Saccharomyces cerevisiae S288C: one gene and its partners. The gene in region 1 interacts genetically with each later gene. Each region holds a gene or a part of one and is shown in the gene's direction. Other genes may lie near its edges.

Evidence for each region.
Region 2: mutations in INP52 (region 1) and ATO3 together harm fitness more than expected from each alone (negative genetic interaction), as found in Saccharomyces cerevisiae (2 studies listed by BioGRID).
Region 3: of INP52 (region 1) and AZF1, extra expression of one rescues a mutant of the other (dosage rescue), as found in Saccharomyces cerevisiae (one study listed by BioGRID).
Region 4: of INP52 (region 1) and ARF3, extra expression of one rescues a mutant of the other (dosage rescue), as found in Saccharomyces cerevisiae (one study listed by BioGRID).

What each region holds. Positions count from the first base shown.
Region 1 is NC_001146.8:420,444-426,107, reverse strand, and holds INP52 (phosphatidylinositol-3-/phosphoinositide 5-phosphatase INP52), read left to right. Parts: upstream 1-1,612; coding exon 1,613-5,164; downstream 5,165-5,664. Other genes in the region: 2-isopropylmalate synthase LEU4, read left to right, coding at 1-1,213; YEATS domain-containing protein YAF9, read right to left, coding at 5,330-5,664. UniProt on the Saccharomyces cerevisiae protein: Dephosphorylates a number of phosphatidylinositols (PIs) like phosphatidylinositol 4,5-bisphosphate (PtdIns(4,5)P2), but also phosphatidylinositol 3-phosphate (PtdIns(3)P), phosphatidylinositol 4-phosphate (PtdIns(4)P), and phosphatidylinositol 3,5-bisphosphate (PtdIns(3,5)P2).
Region 2 is NC_001136.10:1,240,639-1,243,842, reverse strand, and holds ATO3 (putative ammonium permease ATO3), read left to right. Parts: upstream 1-1,811; coding exon 1,812-2,639; downstream 2,640-3,204. Other genes in the region: EFT2 (elongation factor 2), read right to left, coding at 1-613; NKP1 (Nkp1p), read left to right, coding at 3,167-3,204. UniProt on the Saccharomyces cerevisiae protein: Transporter protein required for ammonia export. Induced in rho(0) cells, probably to eliminate the excess ammonia that arises because of a potential defect in ammonia assimilation in those cells.
Region 3 is NC_001147.6:532,453-537,319, forward strand, and holds AZF1 (Azf1p), read left to right. Parts: upstream 1-1,622; coding exon 1,623-4,367; downstream 4,368-4,867. Other genes in the region: COPI-interacting protein CEX1, read left to right, coding at 1-1,341. UniProt on the Saccharomyces cerevisiae protein: Transcription factor involved in the diauxic shift. In the presence of glucose, activates carbon and energy metabolism genes, and in te presence of glycerol-lactate, activates genes needed for cell wall maintenance.
Region 4 is NC_001147.6:501,032-503,870, forward strand, and holds ARF3 (Arf family GTPase ARF3), read left to right. Parts: upstream 1-1,763; coding exon 1,764-2,315; downstream 2,316-2,839. Other genes in the region: CMR2 (Cmr2p), read right to left, coding at 1-1,421; ribose-5-phosphate isomerase RKI1, read right to left, coding at 2,521-2,839. UniProt on the Saccharomyces cerevisiae protein: GTP-binding protein involved in protein trafficking; may modulate vesicle budding and uncoating within the Golgi apparatus.

The sequences.
Region 1 (5,664 bases):
ATTTGCTGTAGAAATTTGCGAAGCTGTTAAGAAGGCTTGGGAACCTACCGAGGAAAATCCAATCATTTTCAACTTACCTGCTACCGTAGAAGTTGCCTCTCCAAATGTTTATGCTGATCAGATTGAATACTTCGCTACCCATATTACTGAGCGTGAGAAGGTTTGCATCTCTACACATTGTCACAATGACCGTGGTTGCGGTGTCGCCGCCACAGAGTTAGGTATGCTTGCAGGTGCCGACCGTGTAGAAGGATGTCTCTTTGGTAATGGTGAACGTACAGGTAATGTGGACTTGGTTACTGTTGCTATGAATATGTATACCCAAGGTGTTTCTCCTAATTTGGATTTCTCTGACTTGACCTCTGTCCTAGATGTGGTTGAGCGTTGTAATAAGATCCCAGTATCGCAAAGAGCACCATACGGCGGTGACTTGGTCGTTTGTGCCTTTTCCGGTTCTCACCAAGACGCCATTAAGAAGGGTTTCAACTTACAAAACAAGAAGCGTGCTCAAGGTGAAACTCAATGGAGAATCCCATACTTGCCATTGGATCCAAAGGACATTGGCCGTGATTACGAAGCTGTCATCAGAGTCAACTCTCAGTCTGGTAAAGGTGGTGCCGCTTGGGTTATTTTGAGATCTTTGGGTTTGGATCTACCAAGAAACATGCAAATCGAATTTTCTAGCGCCGTTCAAGACCATGCTGACTCCTTGGGTAGAGAACTAAAATCAGATGAGATTTCCAAGTTATTCAAAGAGGCTTACAACTACAATGACGAACAGTACCAAGCTATTAGTTTAGTCAATTATAATGTTGAAAAATTCGGCACTGAACGTAGAGTGTTCACTGGTCAAGTCAAAGTAGGCGACCAGATCGTCGATATTGAAGGTACAGGTAATGGTCCAATCTCTTCTTTGGTCGACGCCCTATCAAACTTGTTGAACGTGAGATTTGCCGTAGCAAACTACACAGAGCATTCTCTAGGTTCTGGTTCTTCTACGCAAGCTGCTTCTTACATCCATCTATCGTATAGGCGTAATGCCGACAACGAAAAGGCCTACAAATGGGGTGTAGGTGTCTCCGAAGATGTCGGTGATTCTTCAGTGAGAGCCATCTTTGCCACCATTAACAATATTATCCATTCTGGTGATGTGTCCATTCCATCTTTGGCCGAGGTCGAAGGTAAGAATGCTGCGGCATCTGGCTCTGCATAAGAACTTTTCTGTATTTCAGGACTTATTCGCTTCTATTTATTTCTATACTTATTTATTTACTTCCTTTCCTTTTTTTTTAACCATATAATTACTAGAAGCACGGATGTCTAAATTAGAATTACGTTTTAATATCTTTTTTTCCATATCTAGGGCTAGTGCTTGTTTTTCTTTTTTTAGTATATTCTTGAACCAAATACGTGTGGGGTGACCCGAAACTTGTTTGGCGGTTAGTGACGAAATTGAAACAAACCTGGAGTTATTAAGAGAGATTTAACTGGAAAACTAGGCATAAAGGACAATAAGTACTCGCTTCATATAGTCTCAACATATTTTTGTTCGCAGAATTGGTGACAAAGGCCACGCAAAGGCAGCAGAATCAAAAACAAATACTCAGTAGCTATGAAAATACTCCTATCGAAACAGCAAACTAGAAAGATAGCAATAGTTTCAGAAACACATGGACTGGTATTTAGGCCAATAAACAGTAAGAACTCTCGCAGATCTACATGTGCCGTGGAATTGGTTCCGAAAGCTGAATTAAATGGTAATGGTTTCAGAAGACTATCTAACCATGAAATATACGGTTTTATTGGTCTCATAGAAATTGAAGGCCTTATGTTCATAGCAACCATAACAGGTAAATCTAAGGTGGCCCAGCCGATCCCAAACAAAACGGTTAACAAAATATATGCTGTGGATTTTTTTTGCTTAAATAATTCTAAATGGGATTTCATGGACATCGATTCATCCGGTTATCCGATTGTTACTAATGATGGAGATTTTGCAATAAGCTCGCCTCCTAGTATTTCCACACATTCTTCTAGATCATCGCTACGTTCTTCTTCCTCTAGGAGTTTGAATGCTCAAGAACAAGCTCCCAAGCATCCATGTCATGAACTAAGAAAGCTATTATCAAATGGATCTTTTTATTACAGCACCGATTTTGATTTAACTTGTACATTGCAGAAACGTGGATTCACGGAACACTCTTTGAGTTTTGATGATTTTGACCGGGAGTTTATGTGGAACTCGTTTCTTATGGACGAAATCATCACATACAGAGACAGACTAGATGTAACGGCCAAAGAACTATTGGATCAACGAGGATTCCTCACGACCGTAATCCGAGGGTTTGCTGAAACAATTTTTAGCTATATTAATAGGTTGAAAGTAGGACTTACCATTATTTCCAGGCAAAGTTGGAAAAGAGCAGGCACAAGGTTTAATGCACGTGGTATAGATGATGATGGCCATGTCGCAAATTTTGTTGAAACAGAAATGATTATGTACTCTTCTCAGTATTGTTATGCTTTCACGCAGATAAGAGGAAGCCTTCCAATTTTTTGGGAGCAGGATACATCTTTGATTAGTCCAAAGATTCAAATTACCAGATCTGTTGAAGCAACACAGCCCACGTTTGATGAACATTTTATAAGACTATTTAAGAAGTATGGGCCAGTTCATATAATCAACCTGCTGTCTACTAAATCTTCAGAAATTCAATTATCGAGGCGATACAAGGAACAGTTGAAAAATTCTGAGAAAATGAAAATCGGTAGAGATGTGTTCCTAACAAGCTTTGATTTCCATAGAGAAACTTCGCAAGATGGGTTTGCAGCTGCAAGTAGGATTATCCCTAAAATAAGAAACACAATTTTGGACGCCGGTTACTTTTCATACGATGTAAAAGAAGGGCGATTAATATCCGAACAAGACGGTGTCTTTAGAACCAATTGCTTGGATTGTTTAGATAGAACAAATTTGATCCAACAGACGATTTCACTGGCCGTTTTCAAACTATTTTTGGAAGACTTCCGATTGGTAAAACCCAGTAGTTTCATCGACGATAATGAATTTGTGCAAAAGGTGAATGCTTTATGGGCCGACAACGGAGATCAGATATCACAAATTTACACTGGGACAAATGCTCTGAAATCGTCCTATTCAAGGAAAGGTAAAATGTCTTTTTCTGGCGCCCTTTCTGATGCGACGAAGTCCGTTAGTAGAATGTACATCAACAATTTTGTAGATAAAGGAAAACAGCAAAATATTGACACACTTTTGGGCAAACTACCGCACCAGCAAGTTGTTGAACTTTATGATCCAATCTGCGAATACGTCAATGAAAGGCTGTTAGAGTCAGAGGAAAAATTCACCACTCATTCTAACATAAATTTGTTTGTCGGTACATTCAATGTTAACGGAAACTCTCGAAGAGCAGATTTGTCAAAATGGTTATTTCCAATCGGCGATAAATTCAAACCTGATGTCGTTGTGTTAGGGTTGCAGGAAGTTATAGAGTTGACCGCAGGGTCTATCTTGAATGCAGATTATACGAAAAGTTCTTTTTGGGAAACTATGGTTACTGACTGTTTGAATCAATACGAAGAAAAATATCTTTTACTTAGAGTGGAACAGATGTCCTCTCTTTTGATACTATTTTTTGCAAGATCAGATAGAGCCTATAACATAAAAGAGGTAGGTGGGTCTACCAAAAAGACTGGGTTTGGTGGTATTACTGGAAACAAAGGTGCAGTAGCCATTAGATTCGATTATGGGGCAACTTCATTCTGTTTCGTTAATACACATTTATCAGCAGGTGCGAGTAACATTGACGAACGTCGCAATGACTACAACAATATCTACAGGAACATAACCTTTCCAAGATCAAAGACAATTCCACACCATGATTCGTTGTTTTGGTTGGGTGACCTTAACTACAGGATAACTTTGACAAATGATGAAGTTAGAAGAGAATTAAGGGCTCAAAAGGATGGCTATATTGATAGATTGCTTCAATATGATCAGTTGACTCAAGAAATAAATGAAGGAGTGGTATTTCAGGGCTTTAAAGAACCGACCCTCCAATTCCGTCCGACCTATAAATATGATTATGGCACAGATAATTATGATACTTCTGAAAAGGCGAGAACTCCGTCTTGGACTGATAGAATCATATATAAAGGTGAAAACCTGCATCCATTGGCATATTCGGACGCACCTTTAAAAATAAGCGATCATAAACCAGTTTATGCTGCATATAGGGCAAATGTGAAATTTGTTGACGAAAAAGAGAAGCTTAACCTAGTTGAGAAGCTGTATGCAGAATATAAGAATACGCATCCCGAAGCACTAACTACAGGTCCTGACGAACTTTCTCATGCAAGAATGGAAAAACAAAAGGAAAGTATACCCTTAGATGCAACCGTTCAATCAGCGGGCATAAAACTAATTGACCTAGATGATACTTCCTCGTGCGTTTCGCCTCTACTTTCTGGTCCCAGTCCCCAACCGTCTGTTGTTGGCCCTGGAGGACTCAGTAACGTATCACCCGATAAAAGTAAGCTCAATGTGCTTCCTCCGCCTCCTCCTACCTCGAGGCACAATAAGGAACCATCTTCTAAACTTCTTTCCCCTACCAAAGAGATTTCCATTGTCAGCGTATCGCCGCGTAAAGGTGAGAGCAATCTTCCTGCCTTAGAGAGACACAGTACACCCAAACCACTGCCGCCAGTGCCCGCTTTATCTTTATCTAAGCCAGTCTCTTTACAGAAAAGTTCTTCAGAATTACAGCATGCTAAAGAGACCATAGATAATGGGAAAATTGTTCCTCGACCTTGTCCTCCTATTAGAAGGAAGAGCAGTACTGCCCCGGACGAAATCTCTACATCTACCAAAAATTCAGGTGTGTCCACTACAGAAGATCCTGAGCCAGCAAAGGCCTCCACAAAACCTGAGAAGCCACCAGTTGTCAAAAAACCGCATTATTTAAGTGTTGCTGCTAACAAGCTTAACACCTCTCAAGAACACTCAATAAAAGTTTCCCCGTCGAATTCAAAATCTGAAGAGGAACTCCCTTGCAAGAAAAAGTCTAAACCAAAAGTTCCTGCGAAGAACCCTGAACTAGAGAAGCTAAGCGTTCATCCATTGAAGCCTTGCGACCCCAATTAAATTGTGTTACTAAAATTACGCATTTATAGAATATGTATCATAACTGTTGTTTAGATGTTTATATGACTCTGCACACATTTCGGTTTTGTGAGCGCCGACCTTTCAAACCATGATCTGTATTACTATGGCTGTTATGAAAATACCGTTGTTCCGGGTGCAGTGATCCTAACTTCCGTTAATGGCTTCTTGTTTTACCAAGTTTTCCAGTTTCTGCTTCAATTCGTCAATTTCCTTGTCAACCTTTTCTATGCCGATCTCTATTCTGTCAATTTCTTCCTGTTCTAATTGCTTGGAGTATACACAATCATCAGTTTTGTTTGAAGGTAACAAATTTCCTGGTCGGCTCATTAAAATTTTGAAAAACTCTTCATTTGGCTCATTGAATACAATTTCATCAAAATACACAGAACTAACTTCTGCATCTTTACTATTATGGTCTGTTGTATTCTGCTCATTTCCATTGTCGGAATTCGGTACAGGATTAGCATAAGGATGAAGTC
Region 2 (3,204 bases), on another chromosome or scaffold:
CTGGGTAAACTTGGACATCACCCAAAACTTCATCGGCGTAGGTGGAAACGATGACGTTAACGGATTCAACAGTTCTGGCAAAGGTTTGGTATAAATCTTCCTTAGAAACTTGCAATTCCAACAAAGCTCTGTCGACCTTGTTGATAACAACAACAGGCTTGATTCTCTCACCCAAAGCTTGTCTCAAAACAGTTTCGGTTTGGACACAGACACCTTCAATGGTGTCGACGACAACCAAAGCACCGTCAGTGACACGTAAAGCGGCAGTAACTTCAGAGGAGAAGTCAACGTGACCTGGAGAGTCGATCAAGTTGATCAAGAAGGAGTTACCGTCGGTCTTTTGCTTGATTTCCTTGACATCTTCGTCAGACATTTCAGAGTATAGAGAAATAGCGGTAGACTTGATAGTGATACCTCTTTCTTGTTCATCCTTTCTGGTATCGGTGAAACGAGCTTCACCAGCCTTAGCAGCGGAAATAATACCGGCTCTTTGGACCAAGGAATCGGTCAAAGTGGACTTACCATGATCGACGTGAGCAATAACGGACATGTTACGCACATTGGTAACTTTGTCCATTAAAGAACGCATTTGGTCAACAGTGAAAGCAACCATCTTGCAATTATGTTATAGTTTGTGTTTGTGGTCTTTGAGTCTGAATGCTAAACACCAAAAGGGCAATCGTGAAATGTAAGAGAATAATATGTATAATCTAAGATATCAAGAATATATAGAAAAGAAGAATAAGCTCACAAAATGAAAAAAAACTTTTAAGAAAAAATTTTTTTCTCTCTTCGTTTTGCTCACTCCAAAAGCCTACTGCATTGTAATACCTGAAGAGAACAAACCATAACCTGGAGGACAACAGCCCAGTGTGCAGGGAGATCTGAGAAAGAAAGGAACCACACGAGAGACCCGAGAGGAAAGACCAAATCCCTTTCCCAAACTAGTTGTGTTTTTGTCAGGTTAATGCGTCTGTGTATTTCTCAGAACGCTTACGTTCCAGGTATTTCGCACCCATTTTGAATTCTCCATATCGTTTTGCACGGAAAACCCATTTATCATCTATTCTGTATATAACCACAATAGGCATCTCATTTCTTGCTTTGAAATAGTAGGTACTTTTGTACGTAATTCTTCTGGTAAAAAAAAAAGAAAAAAAAGGAAGGAATTTGGGTCTCAATTTTCACCCTTTTGTATAACAGTAGCATTCTTGCATGTAATCTCCAATATTTGGCTTGTGATTGCCATCTCTATACTTCGTCAGCCATTACCTTTTCCCCTCCCCTTCCCCTCCCCTCTCCTATTGCCGCACCGCCGGCTACAAACATAACTCCAACCATAATCTCACCGCAGCTGGCATATCCTCCGGTTTTCCCTCTCCATCGCCCATTGTGTGCCAGACAAAAGACGCCGAAAAAAACCGGAACTGCCGCCGCTGGTCCTGAGAAGAGCAAGAACCATACGGAAGAGTCTCAGCAGGCGCTGCTCCAACTTGGCACACGGCAGAACCTGCACTACAATAGCGTTAGGAAGAAGCATCATTTTTTTCTACTGTTTTTTTTTTTCTTGGGGAACCGCTCAGGGCCTAATGGAAACACCAATGGATTTGAGAATTTTAACGCTATTCACGATGACCGTGACTCAGAAGGAATATTTAAATAAAACAACTTTTTAGCAAATTGAATACTCATCGATGAGCTTCGCTTGATTGCCTAATATTCCCCCAGTTTTATAAACAGTTGGGTCACATATAACTGAATACATTCCCAGAAAGATTTAGTAAGAATAAAAAATAAAAATACTGGTTAAAATGACATCGTCTGCTTCTTCTCCACAGGATTTGGAAAAGGGTGTGAACACTCTAGAAAATATTGAGACGCTCCCCCAGCAGGGTTCGATTGCAGGCGTTTCGCAGGGCTTCCCTAATATTCAAGAGATATACTCCGACAGAGACTTCATTACTCTAGGATCCTCCACCTACAGGCGCAGAGATTTGCTCAATGCACTAGACAGAGGGGATGGGGAGGAAGGAAACTGTGCAAAGTATACTCCGCACCAGTTCGCTAATCCGGTTCCTTTGGGTCTCGCATCGTTTTCTCTGTCATGTCTAGTTCTGTCGCTAATTAATGCGAACGTTCGCGGCGTCACTGATGGTAAATGGGCGCTAAGTTTGTTTATGTTTTTTGGTGGTGCCATTGAATTGTTTGCCGGGTTATTGTGTTTTGTCATTGGGGACACATACGCCATGACTGTGTTCAGTTCTTTCGGCGGGTTCTGGATCTGCTACGGTTATGGGCTAACAGATACTGATAATTTGGTCAGCGGCTATACCGATCCCACAATGTTGAACAATGTCATTGGGTTCTTCCTTGCGGGCTGGACCGTTTTCACCTTCTTGATGTTGATGTGTACATTGAAGAGCACGTGGGGTTTGTTCTTACTATTGACGTTTTTGGATCTTACCTTCCTACTACTGTGTATCGGCACCTTCATTGACAACAACAATCTCAAAATGGCCGGTGGCTATTTTGGAATTTTAAGTAGTTGCTGCGGTTGGTATTCGCTATACTGTTCTGTGGTGAGTCCTTCAAATTCTTATTTAGCCTTCAGGGCGCACACAATGCCAAATGCTCCTTAAAGGGTATGAAATGAAAAACAAAACTTATAAAACATTAAAATGATTTAATAATAATGATAACGTTACGTTTAGACATAGTCTTTTTTTTTTTTCTTGGCCAAGAGTTTTTATAAAAATTTATATATCATTTACCCACAATACTTAGCAAATTGTTCGAGACGAAATATTCTTTTTTTGAATTGTTACCGATGGATGGATTTGTTCGAAATAAGACCCAAGGCTTAGGCATCTTTTTTTTTTTTTTCTGTAATATTTGGACTAAATATAAATCAAATTTCAAGAAGGAAGGGAAAAATCATAAAATAGTGAAGAATTCAGGCAATCAAGATTTAATTCGCATGTAAAATATCTCTTTCTCGTGAACAAAACTTTCGTTTGTACCTTTTGAGTACAGATATATTGCTTTGTTCAAAGGTGATATAAAAACGATGACGCGTCACAGGGGAAAAGAGGTAAATCTACATGCGAAGAAATATTTTTGGTAAATGTGCACAGAAACTAAAGCAACAATAGATTGTAGGAATAAGATGACAGACACATATAATAGCATATCCAATTTTATAGA
Region 3 (4,867 bases), on another chromosome or scaffold:
GGCATGAACTTCAACGCATCACATAAACTAGTACCATTCTTAGCGATTGTTTTAGACCTAACTTCTGAAACGAACACCTTTCCAGTTGGTTTCAACGACCTTATCACCCAAAGTTTTAAACTGCCAGATAGGCAAGTAAGATTTCTTTTACTAATATACCTACCCAAATTAATAGGTCCATTGAGCAAATCAGAGATCTCCAGTAGGATATATCCACATTTTATCCAAGGTCTGACCGACTCTGATGCCACTCTTAGATTACAAACACTGAAGACAATTCCATGCATTGTGTCATGTTTAACAGAGAGACAACTGAATAATGAGCTACTGAGGTTTCTCGCAAAAACACAGGTTGATTCTGACGTTGAAATCCGAACATGGACAGTCATCATAATAAGTAAAATCTCAACCATATTATCAACGTCAGTTGGTAATCGCTCGAATATTTTAGCTACGGCGTTCACAAAATCTTTGAAAGATCCTCAAGTAAAACCAAGATTGGCTGCTCTTTATGGGCTTGAGAAGTCGATTGAGCTGTTTGATGTGAACACAATCGCCAACAAAATTTTAACAGTCATTGCCCCTGGTTTATTAGATAAAAGTCCCATAGTAAGAGGCAGAGCCAAAATCCTGTTCGAAGAATATCTGGAAAAATTGGAAAAAGAAGCCCAACTTATTCAAACAAACGATAGTACTGCAGATTCGGAAGATGTGAAAGATATTGATTTTGAGAATTACGGTTGTGATGAAGAGGATATGAATAAAGAAGACAATTTGTTAGCCGCACAATTTTTAAATAATTTACGTTTAAATTCTCCCTCAGCAACAACACCAAGTAACATTACCGAGAGCGAAATTGATTCCGCCCAGGATGGAAGTGGATGGGACGACCTCAGCGATACCGATGGCTTTATTACAAATGGTACCACAGAATCCTTCGATGAAACAACAAACCCTGTAACAACCGCAAGCACCCCAAAATTATTCGGAAAACCTATTAAAATTAATAAAAGTTGGAATGATGAGTTGAATGATGATGGCTGGATTCAAGATGAAAGCGGCCCATCAAAGGTGCCTCAAAAACACACAAGGCCACAAAATTCAACGTTGGCAAAATCCATCGCTCCTAGCTCAAGGCTTTCTATCAAGAAGAAGAAAACAACGATCCTAGCACCAAGAAACATTGCTAGTAACTCTACTGTTACCACCAAATCGTCACTGTCCAATAAAACTGCAAGAAGTAAGCCTATAAGTAGTATCCGCGGCTCGGTAACCAAGAAAGGAAATGTTGACGGCTGGGATGATGATGGGGATTCAGACTCCTGGGATACGAATTGGTGATCCCAAGACTTATATAGCCCTACGTATTGTAGAAGGATATATTCAGTGTTAATCGTTATTTAGAAACATTACGCCCGTGCCCCGCGATTTCGCTTCTTTGAGAAGTGGAGGAAAAGAAGGGTCCCTTTAATTCCAGTAGAAATGAAGCATAAGCAAGAAGAGTCATCAGAAAAGGGAACCTTGTAGTACTATAGATGGTCCCACAGAGAAATTAATTGGGACAAAAACAGCTACACAAGCGATATACTTCAAAAGATTCAGATATTGAAAAATTACCAGCCATGCCTCCTCCAACTGCACAGTTCATGGGCCCTACGCAGGCGGGACAAAATGAAAGCCAAAATCAATCATCAGGCGAAGCTGGGGAGCAAAACCAGGAGCATGGGCAAGGCCCTACTCCTATTCTTAATCAAAGTCAACCGGCTTCTTCTCAACCGCAACATCAACAACAAAGGAATGAGTCGATTTCATATTATACAAATTTCAACCAGCCACGATATTCCACGGACGCCTCTATCAACTCATTCTTGAACATATCTGATAACGTACCAGTAACAAGTACAGGAGGACCTAGTTCTGGCGGCGCCTATTCCAATCTTCCACGATTATCCACTTCAAGTACACATCAACCGCCAGACCTGTCGCAAATCGGACGCGGCTTTTCCATTGTAAACAACCTCTTCCCACAACAACAGCAGCTTCAAAATCAGCATCGGCAACAGCAGCAACAACAACAACAGCAGTCGCACCAGCAGCCTCCCTTCAAGACCCCTTCATTTTCGACGGGATTAACGGGAAGTTCTTCTCAATATCAATTTTTACCAAGAAATGATAATACTTCGCAGCCACCTTCAAAAAGAAACTCTGTTTATCTTGGACCTAATGATGGGCCTGATTTTGAATTTTTCAGTATGCAGCAGTCACAGCAACCGCAGTTCCAGCCTAGCAGTAGAAGAGAATCAAACTCTATGAGACCTCCACTGTTAATACCTGCAGCAACTACTAAAAGCCAGTCCAATGGCACCAATAATAGTGGGAATATGAACACAAATGCAGATTATGAATCATTTTTTAATACTGGTACAAACAACAGTAATTCTAATCAGAACCCGTACTTTTTGAGTTCAAGAAATAATTCTTTGAAGTTTAATCCTGAAGATTTCGATTTTCAATTCAAAAGGCGGAATTCTTTTGTTAGAGGTACTTTGGACCATAGCAGCCAAAATGCGTTTATACCTGAATCAAGATTAAACTCACTATCCGTTAACAACAAAGCTAATGGTGATCCTGTCGCGGATAATGTTACCAATAACATGAAAGGAAAAAGTAATGAAGTTGACAATGATGATGGCAATGACAGTAGCAATAACAATAACAACAACAACAACAACAACAACAATGAAAACAACAATGACAACAATAATGATAATAACGACAATAGTATTAATTCCGCCACCAGTACTAATATCCCAAACCAAGAGGACCATAGCCTTGCTTCTACCGATACCACAAGCAATAGTAGGAAAGATCTAAAAGAAATAGAACAAAGACTTCGAAAACATTTGAATGATGAGGATAATTACTCTAGTGCTATATCAAGACCATTGGATAAAAACGACGTAATTGAAGGCAGTGAGGGATTGAACAAACATATAGACGAGTCTGGTATGCAACCTAATATTATCAAGAAAAGGAAAAAGGATGATTCTACTGTGTACGTCAAGAATGAGATGCCCCGTACTGATCCCCCGATGAGTAAAGACAATTCTACTTCTGCTGAAGGAGCAGCAATGGCAAACTTTTCTGGTAAAGAACCTCCTATACCTGACATAAGTTCAGTAAGTGATGATGCTACTAACCTGATAGGTGCAACAAAGGTCGACCAACTAATGTTGATTATTCAAGCAAGAAAGAAAGGTTTCACGGAGAAAGTAAATACCACTCAAGATGGAGACTTACTGTTTAACCAAACGATGGACATTTTACCACCTAAAAGCGAACTAGTAGGTGGTGTGGAGAAACCAAAAGGCACACAAAATACACGAGCAGTTAAAAAACATGAATGTCCCTATTGTCATCGGCTTTTTTCGCAAGCGACTCATCTGGAGGTTCACGTTCGTTCTCATATAGGGTACAAACCATTCGTTTGTGATTATTGTGGCAAACGTTTTACTCAGGGTGGGAACTTAAGAACTCATGAACGACTACACACAGGTGAAAAACCGTATTCATGTGATATTTGTGATAAAAAATTTTCTAGGAAAGGGAACTTAGCTGCTCACTTGGTTACTCACCAAAAATTGAAACCATTTGTTTGCAAGCTTGAAAACTGCAACAAGACCTTCACTCAACTAGGAAATATGAAGGCCCATCAAAATAGATTTCATAAGGAAACATTAAATGCCTTAACGGCAAAATTAGCTGAGATGAATCCATCTGAGAATATTCCACTTGAAGAGCGGCAACTTTTGGAGTACTTTGCGTCCATTTATAAAAATTCAAACAGGGGAATTAAAGGTAGAGGAAAAGGTGTAGGAACCAAAAAATCAACAATTTCCTCACCAGAAAACCATCCTGCGAGCACAATTTTGAATCCAAATACAAATGCAAATAATGCTATTGCTAATGATTCTGAAAATAACGGCAACCCTGAAGGTAACATTGACAGCAGTAGTAACAGCAATCCGGGCTCACATAGTATGATTTCGCCGACGCAAAAAGACATGGGTACGTTGCAATCACAATTTATCCAAAATAATTTTAACAATTCTGTGAACAGTTCGAATCCGTCCAACCAACCAATCATAAACTACAATTACACCACACTTCCTCATTCTAGATTAGGAAGTAGTAGTTCCAGCAATACCAACAATAATAACAGCAACTTTTCGGTAGGTGCAGCTCCGGGTGTATTAATGGCGCCAACCACCAATAATGACTTCAGTTTCAACTTGGATCAATCTAATGATAATGAAAGATCTCAACAAGAACAAGTGAGATTTAAGAACATTAATTACAAAAGCTAGCAGGCCTTAGAGGCACTACCTTTTTTTTTTTTTCGAGTTTCTACACCGTAGTATCTGATTTCATAGTGGTATTCGTCAAACTTAACCCACAAGTGTCACTTTTCCTTTCTTTTTTTCTTTTTCTTGAAGAACTGCATGGTTTTCTAGCTCTTTTTCACTTTTTTGAGGTTTTATTTATCTTGTATTCTTTTTTTCTATTATTTTAAAGGTTCAATTTCTATCGACGGTTTTTTTAATTATATATATATATATATATATATATGTATATAATGAATGTGTAATATTCCAAGTATACGTACCTTGGGTTTATATTTTTTAACTTGTATATTCTTTTACGATAAAATTTCTTCCAATTAACATCCCAGGCCTTGCTTCAATTTATCAATTGGTATATTAACTTTCAACACATTTTGTTTTTGTTTTTATTTTTGTTTTTTTTATTTTTTTTTTTTTTTCGCGTTTCGTGCTTTAATGAAACATGTGAAGTGTTTCGCAATGAC
Region 4 (2,839 bases), on another chromosome or scaffold:
TTGTGCTTCTTGGAAAAAGCTGATTCGGGATTTTCCAAATAATTAATAACTACCTGCTTCAATTGTAGCTGATCATTCAGTAAAATGTCGGCTCTAAATTTATCAATGATATTTTCATAGCCCCCAGGTCGTTGTAATATACTACTATCGATAGATATCATAAGATTACCAGTAAAAAGATTGAAAAGCACACCCATTATCAAACCAGTAGATCTAGTAGGGTCCAGACTATTCAAGATAACAAACCTTGAGTTGGTTGCCATAATTTTTTTGTGAAATGGCTTCCTGATGCTTTGTGATTTTTGTTTCCAGTGAGGCATTGATCGTGAGTTTAGAATTTTTGTCATCGTTTCAAATTGGTTTATTAAGATGTTATGCTTCATGACGACGCCAGAAAGACGACCTAGCGGTGTTCTAGTAAACTCTATATATGAAATATTCGGTATATCAAAGGTAGGCGAAGTTTTTTTTGCCTTTGTGTACGTCCCTAAGTCATCAGTCTTGACAAATTTGATTTGCTGGAAAACATCGTTCTTAACCAGTTTAACTTTTGAATGATTTGATGACGAATACAAGTTATCTAATTGTCTATGACATGCGTTAGAAATCAGAACAAATTTCGAATTTGTTACTTTAATTATCTCAAGGATCTCACGCAGAGAATACGTTTCGAATGAGACTGGTACAGCTGCCATGCCGGATATGAAACAGCCTAATAATGCAATAGTAAATTCGATGACATCATTTTTATTGTACCATAGTAAAATCTTATCCATTTTGTAAAGGTGACTCTTATTCAATTCATGTGCTACCCTCTCCGCTTTCAAATAAAGTTTATCCCATGTGATGAACGTTTCTTTGCCTTTAGAATTTATGCTGATCATCGCTGTTTGACCATCATAATGTTCAAAGCGTCCCCGTAAAATTAGCGGTAAAGAATCCGTCATTGCTGAGTCTCCACTGCTAGTATTTTCGGCTCCAGTGTGTCTTGGTAGTAATGGTATCATAGGATTATAAACGGCATCCTTCACTGAACCGTTTTCATCACTGGAACCTGGCAATGACGATTGCAAAGAAGCTGTATATCTCTTGCTCCGCCTTCTGGGAGTATTGTTCGCAGAAGTCGAGTTTATAGTTGTGACACGATAGATAGAATGACGTCTGTCAATTGAATTAGGTAACGACGTAATGGATGATGCAAGACTTGTATTTCTTCTGTGCAAATGTTTCGACTTTCTCGAATTGGGAGATCGAAGCGGGGTATAAGGCCTCATTTGGGAGATTTCAAATTTGTCTAGCAATTGTTTTCTTTTGGTCTCATAACCCTTTCTTGTTAGATTTTCATCCTTATAGTCTTGAATTAACTCATTTAACCGACTTTGCAGATCTAGAGGTAAGGTAGGAGGAATAGAAAAATCCATTGGAGTAACTCAATGCCACACGCTTTTACACAGAACTGAATCACCCTAACACCAAGTTTACGGAAGCAAATGTTAAATCTGTTGAAGCTCTTTTGACTACATTATAAACAGAAATAAAACATACTAGAAAGTAATCGGGTTTTGACGATTTCATCCATTACCCGTCCGAATGATGGCACTTATAAGATAATGAAGATGTACGCAGCATTAAAACCCTATTTGCAGAAGCATAGTAAGACGCAACGTACGCTGAATTAGACTGAGACATTACAGTTGCTTTGACATTGGGAAGATAATTGGGATTTAGAACGGAAAAAAGGAAAAGACAAGCTAATTGTAGAGATGGGCAATTCAATTTCGAAGGTTCTGGGAAAACTATTTGGCTCGAAAGAAATGAAAATTTTGATGCTAGGCCTGGATAAGGCTGGTAAGACAACAATATTGTACAAACTAAAATTAAATAAAATAAAGACGTCTACTCCCACTGTCGGTTTTAACGTGGAAACCGTTACTTATAAAAACGTAAAATTCAACATGTGGGATGTAGGAGGACAACAAAGATTGAGACCTCTCTGGAGACATTATTTTCCAGCCACCACCGCACTTATCTTTGTGATAGATTCTAGTGCTAGAAACCGTATGGAAGAGGCCAAAGAAGAGTTATATAGTATCATAGGTGAGAAAGAGATGGAGAATGTAGTACTGCTGGTATGGGCAAACAAACAAGATTTGAAAGATGCAATGAAACCTCAAGAGGTTTCCGATTTTTTAGAACTGGAGAAAAATTTGAAAAACCAACCTTGGTGTGTCATCGGTAGTAACGCCTTATCCGGACAGGGTCTTGTTGAAGGATTATCCTGGATTTCGAACAACACAAACGTTCCAAAGAAATAAACATTGCATTTATTGGTGTTGAATCTGCATACACCGATTGTTCATCCTTCATTTTTACTGGATTGTACTTTACTAAAAAGAAAACTTCTGGAAAAAAAACAGTATCCAAATAACTAAATAGCTTTAATAATACAATATAAAAAATGGAGACACTGTTGTGAAAAGTCAACCTTTACTACGGTTTCTGTCTTTGCCTTTGATCTGCTCACTTTTCGGTAACTTCAACACTACCGTCAGAATTACCGAAGTAGGCTTTTGAAGCGTTGTCGATGAATAAACCTGTTTCCACCACGCCCACTAACAGTTTGATTTCTCTATGCAATTTTCTTGGATCGGAAATTTCACCGAAATCCGCATCGATAATGAAGTTATTATTGTCAGTTACAACAGGACCTGCTTTAGCAGAACCTCCTTGTCTGATGTCAACTTTTTCAGCATGCAATTGTTCTAATAGATCATTCTTGACCCTCACGTATGAGGAAGGTACAATTTCAATGGGAACACCTTGCCTCCAGTTCTTACCT